2 linked regions of the Saccharomyces cerevisiae S288C genome follow. Changing the gene in region 1 together with any one later gene gives a genetic interaction. Each region holds a gene or a part of one and is shown on either strand. Other genes may lie near its edges.

Evidence for each region. Genes that interact genetically often act in the same process or in processes that back each other up.
Region 2: mutations in PRM7 (region 1) and RPE1 together harm fitness more than expected from each alone (negative genetic interaction), as found in Saccharomyces cerevisiae (2 studies listed by BioGRID).

Annotation. Positions count from the first base shown.
Region 1 is NC_001136.10:379,286-388,246, forward strand, and holds PRM7 (pheromone-regulated protein PRM7), read right to left. Parts: upstream 4,797-8,961; coding exon 2,700-4,796; downstream 1-2,699. Other genes in the region: peptide alpha-N-acetyltransferase complex A subunit NAT1, read right to left, coding at 1-2,153; BSC1 (Bsc1p), read right to left, coding at 5,316-6,302; pseudouridine synthase PUS9, read right to left, coding at 8,228-8,961.
Region 2 is NC_001142.9:187,359-194,564, forward strand, and holds RPE1 (ribulose-phosphate 3-epimerase RPE1), read right to left. Parts: upstream 3,733-7,206; coding exon 3,016-3,732; downstream 1-3,015. Other genes in the region: LSM1 (Lsm1p), read right to left, coding at 1-286; DUF5427 domain-containing protein MTC1, read right to left, coding at 646-2,082; ALB1 (Alb1p), read left to right, coding at 2,358-2,885; YJL118W (uncharacterized protein), read left to right, coding at 4,281-4,940; PHO86 (Pho86p), read left to right, coding at 5,173-6,108; SUN family protein NCA3, read right to left, coding at 6,502-7,206.

The DNA of each region.
Region 1 (8,961 bases):
AAGTCCAAAATATAATCCCTTTCGTCTTCTCTGACTTGCATGGAGTAGTTATTATAAAATTCGGTAGCGAAGTCCTCCATTGGAGTGGAGGTTTCAATCAACTTTTCGCCGAATACATCGTTATCTTGATCACTCGGATAAGCAGCAACACTCTTGGCTTCAGTTTCTTTCCGTTTGTTCATAGCGGCTGCTTCCTTCTTAGCTTTTTTCTTTTGGCTGCTACTATTTTGGCCATTATTTTGGATTTCATCTGAATTTTCATCTAAAGAATCGGACTTTCTTTTTAAGCGATCATCATGCATTTGAAAGTAAAGCTTTGATGCTTCCTTCATTGCGCGAACATACATGGGTTTGGTATAAAGTGCCTTTCCCCATTCTAACATCTCCAGATAGGCTCTTGGCGTACCTTTTCTCATACAGTATGAATGGAAATCCAACTGGTCATCTTCGAATTGTTTATAAAACTTTGGAATAGCGTTGAATCTTTTCAGCGCCAAACCTTTATATTTGCGAACAAGCCATTGGTTTTCTTTGATATCATTCGCAATTTGTTCGCTTTTATCACTTTCAACCTCTTTTTTTAGCGATGCTAAATCGTCTAATTTCTTTTTTCTATCCAGGTATAGTCTATAATAGGCTTCTGCCTGTTCTACGATGAACCAAGAAGCTTCCACAAGGTGTAAGTCCTTAATACCATTAACAGAATCATCGTTTTTGGTGAAAAGGGACGCGACTTCCACCGCCTTGTCGATATTGTTAGCCCTTAAAAAGTACTTAACCGTTTTACAGTTGATAAATCTATCCTGCAAATCAAGTTGCCTACCTTCCTCCAAAATTCCAGCCGCTGTGTCCATTAGGCCTAAGTGCTTCAGGATACGTGCCTTGAGGATGTAAAACTCAACTAAAGTTGGGGTGTGGTCAAGGGCAGCATCAATATATTCTTGGGCTTTCGGAAAATCCTTAAGGAAAAGGAAATGTTGAGACAAGTAATAATTGGTCCAAATAAAAGGAATTGGATCCTGCGTAGGATCTAATCCGGACAAATAATCAAGGACAATTTTCTCCAATAGTGGTGAAACCTTGGACTTCCTTCTTTGGTAAAGGGGTTTCACGTTGGAAAAAGTTGCTGGAACACCGCGCTCCAATTGAGGCAAAACATATTCTCTCAATTTTTTGCTGAGCTCTTCTTTGTCTTGAAGGAAAGTTAATGGAATAAATTTGGGTGGTTCGCATCTTGGATAAAATTGTTCAAGTTTTCCATACAAAGCCTTCTTCAATTTATTGTCACCTTGGATTCCCAAGGATACTTCCAGTAATTTGTAGTACTTAAAATTATCTGGATTTCTCTTGATCAGAGTTCTATAAACAATGGACGCGTCTTTCAATTGACCCAATTTCATGTAAATAGTTGCTTTTCTCTCTAATAAACCAAATTTATCAAAGACGCATGGCTCGATATCATTCAAATGTTTCAATACATTTTGTAACTTGTCTTGGTTATCACTGGCAGCTTTATACATAATGTCGTTTTTGTACATTAAACACTCGCTGTGTTCATATTTCTCGGAATCAGATATTTTTCCCTCAGCGAGTTTTTCAAACTGAGATAAAGTGTTAATAGCTTGTTGCCTCTCACCGTTCACATCTTGTGCCACAGCCAATGATGTCCAGTTGGCACGGTAACCAAGGAATGCTTCCCAATATTTTTTCCTGGACACTAAAGCATTTTTGAAATCGCCAATTTGTGATTGCAAAGTTGCTAAGTCTCTATATATTTGCTTGTTAGTGGACCCATTGTTCAAAGCTGCCGTGAACCATTTAATAGATTCTTTGTACTCTTTGGTGTTTCTCATGTAGATACCTAATACATGACAGCAGATTGGTGATGCTGAAGCGCCTTCAATTTTTCTGATGGCATTAGCCACGTAGGAAGCAGCGTCATCTTTCTCACCTACAGAATATAAATCAAGACCCTTTAAAGCCAAGGAATCAACGTGACTACCGTCTTTTTTCAAAATTGCGTCTAGCAGCTTGAGAGATTTTTTGTATTGCTTCCCTTCGTATAGTTTCAATGCCTCGAGGAACTGGTCATTTTCTTTTTTCAAAGCTATTTTAGCTGCTGGCTTGGGCTTAGTACTTCTTTTCCTAGACATACTTCGTTAGGGTCAATCGCCTTCCTCAATGGTATTTGTCTTAAACAAGGAATCTGAACATCACTTTTTAAAAAGGTTTGACTTTTGAGTGTAGAAACTTTTTCATTTTCGCTCTTTCCTCTTTACTCTGTATTATGTTCTGTTTCGACGCGGAGCAGGGTAAAAAGTGCATACGCAACCCAGCGACCTCATTAGCAAGGTCATGCAATTTGGTGGCACATTTCAGGCCTATCATGTCTCCAGTTGTACAATAATGAAAATTTAGCAGTATTCCCCCTTTAAAAGATTAAATAGCGATTATATAATCAACTCAAAGAGTTTCCTTAGCAGTCCTCTCTCAATTTTGAATTGTCGAATGTCATGGCGTTCTCGAAGCACTTTGCATACTTCAAGGAGTGGACAGAAAGAGTCTGATAATAATAATTTTTTATTGAATCCGAAGATATTCTATAATCAAATTTAACTATTATTCTATGTAAAATCTATAATTGGTTTATATGGTATACGAACGAGAATGGCGTAGGGACATGAAAGATGGTAGAATGACTAAATGAAAGCTAGAGGAAGAGCGGCAGCGAGCCACACCAATTTTCCTACTGCTTCAATGTTTGCGCTGCCTTCCATGATTAATGAAATGCTGGCAGATGATGTAATGGCTCCTGTTGATACAGCAGCAATGGAATGCTTTGATGTGATAAATGCGTTAGTAGTGGTGGTCGTGAAGGAATTTGTATAATGAATGGCACTGGATTGACTAGAATAATCTTTAGTTGAGGTACCAGAAACACTTTCTAGAGAGGCAGCTGCAGAAATATTGTCCTCAATACTGTGATTCATTACGGAAGCAGTTGATTGAACGTTACTTATAGTAGACGTTGATGCAGGAGAAGTCATAAATGCAGATTGTTTGGTGATGGTAGTGTCTTTGGGACCCGAGTAATTTGGGTTCCCAACCTCAGACTGAATGTTAATGTTTGAAGTTACTAGTGTTGTATGGCGAGTCGAGTCAGTAACTCTACTGACAATATCGGTGACGCTTGCGTGAGCTGATGCATAAGTTCTATCTAATGTGATTGGATGAGCTGAGGAAGATGAGCCGACTAAACCATTTTCACTGGCTAGAGTCGTTGGGTCTGCTGAAGTTATGCTAGGATATGAAGATTTAGTTGATTGGAATGCGTCAACTACAGAAACAGAACTTTGGGTCTTCGAATCATTGCTGCTAACTGGCATATTAGGCTTGATTATACTTGTTGCGCTTGACCTACTCGAGGAAGCCGAATCAACTGGGGTTAAAGTTACAATCGAAGAACTTGAAGTGGCCGAAATTCCTTGCTGTCTAGAAAGGCTTAGACTTTCCGACGCAATTGGAATGCCCGTGGAAGTTGATCCGGTCGAAGCTGTTGGATATACTGGGCTATTCGAGACAGCGAAAGTGCTTGGGTCTACTTGAGATCTTTGAATGGATGAGACGCTCAAATCAGCTGAACCAGTTGAGGAAACCATATCAGTTAGACTAGATGATACTGTTTGGGTATCTTGGCTGGTTGAAGTGGTTGAAACCCTTAGAATGATTGTGTCAGAGAAAGTAGCTAGATCTGTTGAAGTAGTTGGACCACTTGGTCTGGTTGAATAAACTGAGGTTGAACTGACAATAAAACTGGTTGGTTCAGATGAAGTTGAACTAACTACAGAACTAGCTGGATCAATTGAGGCGCTACTGATGATAGTAGTTGCACCGCTTGAACTAACGATGGAGCTAACTGGATCAATTGAAGTAGTTTGAGCCGCTAAAGTAGCTGAACCGTTTGAATTAGCAGAAATAGTCACAGTGCTTGAGCTAGTTGGGTAAGATGAAGTTAAACTGACAACAGAACTAGCCGGATCAACTGGAGCGGAACTGACTACAGAACTAGTTGGATCAACTGAAGTAGTTTGAACGGTCGAGGTAGTTGAGTCAGCTGAAGTAGTTGGGTCTGCTGAAGTTGAACTGATAACAGAAGTGGTTGGGTCAACTGAAGTAGCAACGTCACTTGAGCTAGTTTGATCAACTGAGGTTGAAATGACTACAGAAGTAGTTGGGTCAACTAAAGTAGTCACAGCGCTTGAACTAGTTGGATCTGCTGAAGTAGCCACGTCACTTGAGCTAGTTGGATCTGTTGATGTGGTTACCTCGTCAGAGCTTCTTGTACGATACATACCAGCAACACTTGATGAGGCATGTGGACCAACTGTTGTAGTAGACTCAATTAAAGATGTAGAGTCCGTGGAAGTGGAAATCACGACAGAGATATTTAGACTTGTTGAAGTAGTAATATCGTTTGAACTGACGAGAGAAGTAGTTGGTTCAATTGAAGTGGTTTGAACGGTTGAAGTAATCACATCGCTCGAGCTAGTTGGGTCAATTGAAGTGGAACTAACTGCAAAAGTAGTGGAATTGGCCAAAGTGGAATTGCCGATGTTGTTACTTGGACCAGCTGAAGTGGTTTGAACGGTCGAGGTAGTTGAGTCAGCTGAAGTAGTTGGGTCTGCTGAAGTTGAACTGATAACAGAAGTAGTTGGGTCAACTGAAGTAGCAACGTCACTTGAGCTAGTTAGATCTGTTGATGTGGTTACCTCGTCAGAGCTTCTTGTACGATACATAGCCGCTAAACTTGATGAGGCGTGTGGATCATCCGATGTAGTATACTCAATTGAAGATGTAGAGTCTGTGGAAGTAGAAATGGTAACAGAGCTACTTGGATCAGCTGGGCTAGTTTGAACGGCCGAAGTAGTTGAATCAGCTGGAGTAGTTGGGTTAATTGAAGTAGTCACAGCATTTGAACTAGTTGGGTCTGCTGAACTTGAACTGATAACAGAGCTACTTAGATCAGCTGAACTTGAACTGACTACGGAAGTAGTTGGATCAGCTGAAGTAGTTTGAACGGTCGAGGTAGTTGGGTCAGCTGAAGTAGTTGGGTCAACTGAAGTAGTTGGATCAACTGAAGTAGAACTGACTATAGAACTAGTTGGGTCAACTGAAGTAGTTGGATCAACAGAAGTAGTTTGAACGGTCGAGGTAGTTGGATCAGCTGAAGTATTTGGGTCAACTGAAGTAGTTGGGTCAACTGAAGTAGTCACAGCGCTTGAACTAGTTGGGTCTTCTGAACTTGAACTTACTACTTAAGTGGTTGGATCAACAGAAGTAGTTTGAATGGTTGAACTGGTTACATCGCTTGAACTACTAGAGTCACTTGAAGTGAAACTGCTGAAAGGACTAGTTGAAGCTGCTAATGTGGTGACATCAGTAGATGTTCTTGAACGATAAATATCGGCTACGCTTGATGAAGTATGTGAGTCAACGGAAGTAGTAAAATCAATGGATGTAGTGGAAGAGCTTTTCACAGTAGATGACGTAGTAGTGGAAGTTTTCGTAGAGGATGAAGTAGTAGAGGATGAAGTAGTAGAGGATGAAGTAGTAGAGGATGAAGTAGTAGAGGATGAAGTAGTAGAGGATGAAGTAGTAGAGGATGAAGTAGTAGAGGATGAAGTAGTAGAGGATGAAGTAGTAGAGGATGAAGTAGTAGAGGATGAAGTAGTAGAGGATGAAGTAGTAGTGGATGAAGTAGTAGTGGATGAAGTAGTAGTGGATGAAGTAGTAATGGATGAAGTAGTAATGGATGAAGACGAGGCTTTTGTACAAGTGCCATCATTGTTTCCCTTGCACTGGTAGGTCCAATAAAATCCAGGGAAATCCGTTTGTGAGTGGCCTTGATTGTCATAATTGTTACAACCTGTCGATAAATCGAAGGTGGTTGTCCCCCATTGCCAAGTTTGCCAGTACTGAGCAGCATCACCTTGTAGATATTCGAACTGGATTTGGAAATTTGGCATCCAAACTGTGCAACCGTCAGAAGAAGGGTAAGCATAAACCTGAAAAGTGGATGTAAAATCTGTTGGATCACTGATTAGGTATGTCTTCTCATTTTTGCCGTAAAGTTGTACGGTGCTTGAGGGACCGTTGACACCAATAATCTTTAAAGACCATAAATATTTCAAAGGGATATCTTTTACGGCTTTGACATGAATAGTAATCTGGTATGTGTTATCCTTGACCCATGATACGGAAGTAACATCCATATCATAATGTAGTATATTCTGTTGGCTCATGTGCCAGTTGAAATCCAAATTTGGACAACCATTGATAGCAACGCTTTCGTCTCTTTTGCTTAGATCAAATGAAGGGCTCACCTTGTCATCAATTCTATCAGCAGTCGCTGAATTTGTGAGCAAGGCCGCAAATAGGAGGCAAAATGATATTAGTAGTTTTCTTATGAATGATGTGGATACCTATTTTACACTTTTGCAACAAGGGGAGGAAAATTGCCAAGACCATCATGACATTGGAGGAAGTGATTTGCTTCTCTTAAATATAAAATAATTAAACGATCATGGAGATGCAGCGAACTAATGTGAAAAATTTTTCTTTCCAGTAGTATCGGTTATTCTGTAAGCATAGAATCGGGTATTAGTGGCTTGTTCCGAGCTTTTTTTCTTTGCCAATAAGAAAACAAGTAAAATGCAACGTGCAAATGCTGATCTGATCTCGCCTGGGCCAGTTTTATCGTCATGTGCGCGTGTAGGCACGAAAAAAAAGAAAAGACCGCTACCTCTCCTTCTAAAATGACAGGAGGAGAATATAAGGTTTGGCAGCCCCTTGAAAGAGCCGCAGGAACCAAAAAAAAAAGAAGGAAAGTTTATTTTTTTCTTTTTCCAAAAGACTTTTTAAGATGTTTGTCAGCAAGATAATACAGGACCTACACGACTATCAGTCACAGCCAGAGAAACGTTTGTCGTATGATGGCAAAATATTTTTCCCACAACTTTGAAATTATTTTCAAATATGGCAGAACAGTTTAACATTTGGTTTCAAGAGGTAGCACAAGTTCTTGAATAGTATTTGTTCGCGTTAAGATGGAAGCAGGCCAAATGCCCCAATAATCTAATAACCGTATTTTCTATGCTAAAGGAGGAACGAACACTCGGTCTTGTACAGGCAGCTCTAAAAGGAAAATTTCCATCCCCCCAGGCCAAGAAAATCAGAATCATATGGCCCCCTTCCATTCTAACGGAATAGTATATCAAAGAAATAATGTTTACGTAAGCCATAGACAAGCGATATAATCTTTTTTATCCTTAAACTAGGTGCTTCATTAAGAAAGAAGAAGAAAAGAAGAAAGTACGACAAAGACTCCCCGCTGGACAATAAACGGGGGCGGCAGGTGTTAATTCCGAATTGAAATTTAAATTTGACATAAGCAAAGTTTAAAGTTTTTTTTTTCCAGTTCTTTTTTCCCATCGTTTTTTTTTCTAGAAGCCGGGTTTTTCACCGTCAAAAAATTTCCTAAAAAAGATCTGTCAATCATTAAGTTTTGCTTTTTCGGCTTTTAAGCCATGCTTTCAGGCAAAAATTAAGATTTCTTCGTAAAGATCGGAGCCTTACGCCCAAGAAGCAACTGGCCGTAAAATTTTTTCTTCGATCGGGTGGCAAATGGAACAGAAGATCATGAGTAGAAGGAAAAGTAAACAAAGAATTGCGTCGGTCAACCGGTTGTTGCTGCGTGCTTCAGCGGGTGATAAATAAAAGATTTCCTATCTGAGTAATCGATGACACAAGCGGTCTGCGCTCGGTCGCTTCCAAGCCTTAACAAAGTTTTTACTTTATGGTTTTTAATAAATAAATAAAAAGAAACGTGGATTTGGATAGCAGAAAGCCTCGAAGATCATTTTATCAATGAAATTTTATGGTTAACACTTTCAAGACTCCGATTTTCTCTGCTACGTGAAATTTTAGGTTGCGAAAAGAATACTACCGGGAATACTAGGAGTGTGGAAGAAAAGAAATGGAAAAGAAAAGGAGAAGTGGTCATTCTTCACATCTCATTGTCTTCCTCCTGTAAAGATTTTAGCTTTTTTATAAATTAAGATTAAGATTGTAGCGTGATGTTCTGTTACTGTCATTTTTGATTGGCCAATGACTGATTATAACAGAAGACCAGTTTTCTATGTATTATTGTCCGACAAGTCAGGAACCTCTATCTTCTCAGAGCCCATTCTGGATACTCTGTTTTGTAGCACCACTTTTTCTTTTCGGTTCCTTCTTCAGTCTCAGTTGATTCGTATAGATAGGCATGTAACCACAGATCAAGATCATTGGGGCCAGGATCAGTATACAAATCAGATTCACAAATAGAACATTTTTCTTGCCTTAATACCTCACCGTACCCGCCATTACTATGGAACCAACTTTTAGCAGGTTTTCTTTTCCCTATTTCGTCTAGCTTAGTAATAACTATATCGAAGTCAGCCTGGCCGCCTTTTCCGAGATTGTTACCCCATACTTCATCATTGGAATAAATAGGATCGTTAGCAATTGGGTGGCCTAAGTACTGTAAATGTACTCTAATTTGATGTGATCGCCCGGTAAGCGGTTTGCACTTTACAATACTCGTTTTACCGTCGTAGCTGATTCTGTTAAAAACAGTTTTTGCATGTTTGGCTCCTTTCTCGTCCATTTGACAAACTGCATTAAGAGCAAGCCTTGGCTCGATCAGTTTTAGAGGTTTTTCAACAATTACTTCCGTTTCTGGAAATTCTCCAACTACCTTGGCCACGTATTCCTTAGTGACTTCTCGAGCTTTTAGTTGATCGCCGATATTATCGGCTCCCTTCGGAGTTTTTGCCAAAAACATTAATCCACTTGTAAGCCTATCTAACCTATTACATGGGTTCACAACAAATCCGAGATTATTTTGAAGCATTTTCGTAA
Region 2 (7,206 bases), on another chromosome or scaffold:
CAGCGTATTTGTTTTCTTCGCTAAAATATATTCTCTCCACGCAATCTTGAAGTATCAAATTTGCATATTGGTCAAAGGTTCTTAGTACACCGAATAGCATTCTTCCATCACGCAAAAGAACGAAGATTTTACGGTCTACTGAGCTTACAATAGCAGCGGTGGTAGTGAAGTTATACTGGTCGAGATATAAATCGGCCTCACCTTCTGAAATCTTCTTTGGGAAATTCTGCTGTTGTCGCTTCGCATCCTGATTGGACTGATTTCTGTCCTTGCTATTTGCAGACATTTTTGGTGAATTAATTCGATTCGAGGGCTGCTTTCTTTTATAGGTTTTGAAAGCGGAGCAAATGTTGGTATAACTCTACTGCAGCGTTGGCAATCCTGTTGAAAAGGAAAAGAAAATATAACTAAACTGTGTTACTTGTATCTTCACTAATATTTAATCAGCCCTTGGTCATACAGGCTTCCCCTAGATTGAAATACAGGTGCTGAACACCGTTGTATATTCACGACTTCCTCTATTTTTTTCATATTTTCCATTATTCAACGAACGCGGGTAACAAGTCGGCCGAATTTGAACCCACTCCTCTGCGCTTGTAACTTTATACATCATCGTTACGCTATAAATGTTATGTATTAAGTGTATCAAAGACCCATACGGTCAATGACATAATTCTGTGCCATGACCCCAAATGACAAGCTTAATCCATCTTCGATCCATTCCTTTACCCATTCACTAGGATCAATGATCTCATCGTCTTCGTCTTCGTCTTCACTTTCTTTTTGTTTCTTTTGATCGTATGACTTATTCCTCTCCTCACTTGCTGTTGATCCTGTTTTCTCCACGGATCCTTCTAGCCAATTGACCCATTTGACAGGGAATCCTTGTGATCTTGTTATGGTGGTAATATCGTTAGTTATGTCTTTCAATACAAGGGTGAAATTGAAATTGCCTGGCGTATTGGAGTCGGTCACTTGAAAGTCACCGTCGGCATCTTTTTGTTTTTGCGGAATGGCAATTGGTAAGATGGATATGAATAAATCACTGATTTTATTGCTGTTACTGCTAATAGAACTCCTATCGTCATCTGGAGTGGCATCAGCCTCTTTCTGTTGTTTCTGGTATTCCTCATGTGCAGTATTGAAGAGTTTGACTGCATTTTCCAGGTTTGCAAATGCCAGTTTCTCACCGTCTGTTACCTTGCCGTCGAATAGATTAAACTGTAATTTTTTTTTAGAGTTGCCTAACTCACCGTCTGCAACTGAAGGCTTTTTTTCCACAGGTGTAATTCCATTATTGTTAGGATGGCCCCATTCATCTACAAATATTCTGATTCCTCCCTCAACTTGTGAGCTTAGAACTTGATCAAACTTGCTTTCAATATTGTATTGTAATGAGGGATAGTTAACCAAATCATGGACTAGATGAATTCGCAGCACCTCTTCAGTCTCACCAACAACGATTTTCTGTAAGTTTCTGGCTATTTCAGTAATCGTGCTCGTGTTTATCTTTGAAGTCAAATCAAGCTGTTCTTGGGCAAGTCGGTTTTTGATCTGGGATGCTTGTTCTGCAGTTTTATTCCAAATACTCGATACCTTTGCGGATCCAGAGGAGGACCACCAGTTTGAAATAGAAGCAATTGGGTCATGCAATGGGGTCTCCTCCTCCTCCTCTTCTTCTTCTTCTTCTTCCTCCTCTTCTTCTTCTTTCTCCTGCTGCTGTGGTTCCTTTTCCTTTCCGTGAGCGTCCTGCTCGGAATTTTTGTTTTCTTTTGATTCTTCTACTTTTTCGTCTTGTGCTTTATTATTAACTGATTCACTGGGAGCCTTCTTTTCAACCCCTTTCTTGTCAGTTAAGCTTAAGTTACTCTTCTCCAACTCTTCTAAGAATTCAAAGATATCATCGTCACCTTTCTTTCCATCATTCCCGGTCTTGCCCGCCACAGAATTAGAACCTCCCTTAACGCCTTCTTGGCTACCCTTTACGTCAGTATTAACCATTTTCCCGCCATTCTTTGCTTCTGGCAAAGAATCTAAAAATTCAAATACGTCTTCAGCCTCAGAGTTCTTATTTTCAGACATTTTGCCCTGGTAGTATGTATGTTTTTAATCGATTGAGTCTAGTTAACCTGTCCCTTGTTCTATTCTTCACCGTCTCGTCCAACTTCCATCAAAGAACCAGAAACCAGAAAATCGCCGGTTTCTTCCACGCGTCAATCCGTTTGGAATGATCTCATCGCAAAATTTTTTTTCGCTAAAATTTTCATAGAGAGTATCAATATTAATATATGGTTATAACTTATGGCGGCATTAGTCGATGAGGTGCTTGCCGAAGAGACTAGCACAGCCAACCCATAATGCCTTCTAAAAACTCCATCAACAGACCTAAGCTGACTTCAAATTTGCACCACAAGGTGCACTCTTTAAATAAGAAAAGAGCTCAAAGAGAAAGAGCTGGTCTCTTGAAGCCAGCTAGATCCAGCGTAAATTCGAAATCTGGGGAAATAAAATCAGTAGCGTTGGACCTATACTTCCAAAACAAGAAGAACGAAAGTCAGAATTCCACTGCTGTGACATTACAAAATGCTTCATCTTCTCCGGCCTCCATCACCACGAGGACACTTTCCAAAAAGAGAGCTAAGAAAATCGAGAGAAACTTAAAATATGCTACACAGAGAAAATTATTGGTTGACGCAAGCGCTAAGCTAGAAGACGAAATGGATATTGATCTAGATGGCGGTAAGAAAGTGAAAGAGAATGAAAAGAAGAGTTCTTTGACTTTGGTTAAGGAAGCCTTATGGAGTGTCATTGACGATACTGCATCCCAGGGATTGATCATCGAAAACGGACAAGGCACCACCCTGGGCGGCCCATTTTTCCCATGAGTTAGGCACTTACGTATCTTGTATAGTAGGAATGGCTCGGTTTATGTATATTAGGAGATCAAAACGAGAAAAAAATACCATATCGTATAGTATAGAGAGTATAAATATAAGAAATGCCGCATATGTACAACTAATCTAGCAAATCTCTAGAACGCAATTCCTTCGAGACTTCTTCTTTCATGAAGGAGATAACATCGTGCGGGTCAGCTGCAGTGAAAACACTGGTACCAGCGACAATAACGTTGGCACCGGCTTTGGCGGCTTTCGGGATGGTCTCCTTGCCCAAACCACCATCGACTTGGATATTCAAATGGGGGAACTTGGCTCTCAAAGTTTCCACTTTTGGCATCATGTCTTCCATGAATTTTTGGCCTCCAAACCCAGGTTCCACAGTCATAACAAGAGCCATATCCAAATGAGGAGCTAGTTCAAATAAAACGTCAACAGAAGTACCAGGTTTGATGGCGCATGCAGCTTTGATGCCCTTAGACTTAATCAACTTAACTAAATGCAAAGGGTCTTGTGTGGCCTCGTAGTGGAACGTAAATTGGTCAGCACCACATTTAGCAAAATCGTCGACCCATTTTTCAGGATTTTCAACCATCATGTGACAATCGAAGAACGCAGTGGGCTTCTTTTCTGTGTTGCTAGCATCGCCAGGGCGTGGCACAGAACGACGTAGGGAGGTAACAATTGGTTGGCCCAGAGTAATGTTTGGAACAAAATGGCCGTCCATGACATCGATATGTAACCAATCTGCGCCGGCGTTGATGACCTTATGACATTCGCAACCCAAGTTGGCGAAGTCAGAAGCAAGGATACTGGGAGCTATAATTGGTTTGACCATTTTTTCTTGTGTGTTTACCTCGCTCTTGGAATTAGCAAATGGCCTTCTTGCATGAAATTGTATCGAGTTTGCTTTATTTTTCTTTTTACGGGCGGATTCTTTCTATTCTGGCTTTCCTATAACAGAGATCATGAAAGAAGTTCCAGCTTACGGATCAAGAAAGTACCTATACATATACAAAAATCTGATTACTTTCCCAGCTCGACTTGGATAGCTGTTCTTGTTTTCTCTTGGCGACACATTTTTTGTTTCTGAAGCCACGTCCTGCTTTATAAGAGGACATTTAAAGTTGCAGGACTTGAATGCAATTACCGGAAGAAGCAACCAACCGGCATGGTTCAGCATACAATACACATTTGATTAGAAAAGCAGAGAATAAATAGACATGATACCTCTCTTTTTATCCTCTGCAGCGTATTATTGTTTATTCCACGCAGGCATCGGTCGTTGGCTGTTGTTATGTCTCAGATAAGCGCGTTTGTTATGCGAAAAAAAAAAACTTTACAGAGGCTTTGTTTATATATAGAAAGACCACGAAAAAAACAGTGATGGCTTCATGCTTTTCAGTTTCATTATTGGCACGAGTAGCAGTCGTTGAGCCCATCAGAGTGCAACTTTGGTTAAATGTCGTAAATTGTATGATTGAATCATCCATGCACCAATGTCCTCCACGGGATCGCCACTTTTTTTCTTCATCACGCCCCATTTTGTTGATCCGACGTTCTGTATCAACTGTATACAGATTCGTTGCTTCTCGCACCACACAGGTTTTACGTGCGGCCAAGACCGTTGTCAAGTGGTTCATTATTGTCGACCCACTGATAAATTCTATTCTAATCAATTATCTCATTGATAGGCTCTGCACTCTTGGGCATGCTGTATTGCGAGTGAAAAAGCGCAAGACCGAGGAGAGACAACCCTGTTCTCCCATTATACAACACACACACGTTAAGAGACGCAAACGGCCTCGTCTGAGGATCGTAGCCATCAAGAGGAAGCGGAGGCGTCGAAGACCACATCGCATCGAGCGTCCACTCTCAAATATGTACCCAATAATGGAAATCCAGATGGTGGCTGTTCCACTTGCTCTTCCCAGTCCAACTGCACTGGTGCATTATCAGCAGCAGCAACAGCAGCTCCCGCAACATCATCCCTGGTACGACCTCTCGCTTTCTGAAGAAGCCCTCTCGACCTGCTGTTGTAGTTGACCTATAACTGAAAATTCACACCCGCATTACCCAGCGCGCCCGCACGTGCTCTTTATGGAAACTATAATGAATAACGACCAAAGAACATCTTTTTTTCTCTCTCACACAAATAAAGCTTTTCATGTTTATAGATATATAGCACATACTTTTACTAAGTTTTCTAGATTGATTACGACTCTTCCAGTTGCACATTTTTTCATAGCGAAAGTACAAGAGTAGGAAGAGTGGCACAATGGCGGTTCAACAAAGAAAGAAGAAAGAGGGTAGAAAGTCCGATAAAAATGCCCCATCGGTCCCACAAGTAGATGCATCATTAGACAAACCACTTGATATTGATGCTCCTCCTACTATTTACAGTGTTAATTTGAAACCAGAATATGGTACAGCTGCATTGAATTTGTCCGCGGATTTCATCAGACAAGAACAGGCATTGGCTAATAAGTATTTGTTCTTCCATCCCGTCATCCTTGTTGTTCTAACCATTGGGCTGCTTATTTACTTGACGCCAAGAATTGTCTTTCCGATAAGGAATACAGGATCCGTTGCTGGATGGTTCTACCAGCTGGCTCGTATTAATAAGAAGGTCGTCCTCAGCGGTTTAGTGTTCACCGCAATTGGTGCATCTTTCTTGTTCACCCTCCTCTCACGTGTATCTGACTCGTATTTCAAGTCGAAGATCAACCAACTTGTTGGTTCTAAAGGTGAGAAAGTTTTCGGCATCAATTTGAATGATTTGGTGGCAAGACATGAAACAAAGGATCCAGTGGTGAACAATACGCATATCATCGTTTATAGAGAAACGCCCATTGCATTGATTTCGTTAGCCCCTAACATGACATTAAGTACTGATGAAAATTTAGTCATGAGTGTTACTACTGTGGGTTGTCGTCGTGTATATGTAAAAAGTGGCATTATCGAAGATTTGATTGATTGGGCTATGCTACACTCCAAAAATATTAGAAGCAGCGGCAAATACGGGGAGACCATGAAACTCTTGATTGATGTCTACTCATTCGATAGCACGCTTAAGGAAATTTTGAAGAAAAAAGGGTTCACTTATATTCAAAGCATTAGAGTCTCTGAAAATCGACTACTAGGCGGTTTGTTCGGTGTGAAGAAGGAATTATGGGGTTTGCAATTCCATTTTAAAGCCGAACACAAGGACTAGGATACTGTTATTTTTATAGCCAAAAAATGAAAAAAAACAGCATGGCATCTTGTTAGTTCTGTTGCAACTCGCAGGAAGTAACAAAATAAACACTATAATATTTCCATATATTTATATATATGTATACAAACACCTTGTTAACAAAAAAAAAATAAACGAACTAAAGAAAACCGTAATGCAGAGTACACCTTGAAGAGAGAGAAAAGAAAATCTTTGAATCCATAGCATAATAGCGATCAACGAAACTTTTTAAGAAGTAAAATGAACTGAAAGGAGAAAAATATAACGGAATCCCAATGTATAATAATAAATAGAGAGCGGAAGAAAAAGAATAATAAGGGGAATTGAGGGTATCAAAATACAAGACATTCTTTTACCGAAAAGAAGAATGACTTAATAGAAAACAAATTCAGCAGATCCAGATAAAACAGAAACTGTGCAACCATCGGAACCATCTCCGGTGAAAGAGCCATCTTCATACGCACAGCTGCCCTGAACGTTAGCGCCATCGGATGCAACTATTTTAACGTTAAAGTTGGCAGCTTGGTTACTGTTGGGGTTTGGAATCAACGACAAGTATGTTTCTCCATTAGTGGAACCAGCACCTAACACTAGTGGAGCCCAGTTGCCGACATCCGAACCAGAAGTACCCCAAATGCACCCATCTTCTGCAGATACACCGGCGTTGTTAATATAGTACTGAGCAGAAGTCTTTTTACCCTGCCATTGATAATAAGTGTCTTCATCAACGACTGAAATTGGTTGTGAATCTCCACCATCAACCACTGTGGGAATCACCATGTTTTCTGATCCTGGGTAATCCGTCCTACATAGAGCAATGGAGTCAGACTTTTTGTTAATGGCCTTAGCAGATGTTTCATCCGTAGAACATAAATCGCTGGTATCAGTGTTGGTACGGTACAAGTAACCATTTTTACAGTAAAGACCACCAACAGATTTACCATCGCTTGGTTGGTCAGAAGGCCATTGAGTCTTTGACATTCCAGGTTCACATGCATAAGAACAGTAGTAGCCATCCTTACATTCGGACGAAGTGTTGGCATCCATGTCCATGACAGAGGCCCATCCACCAAATCC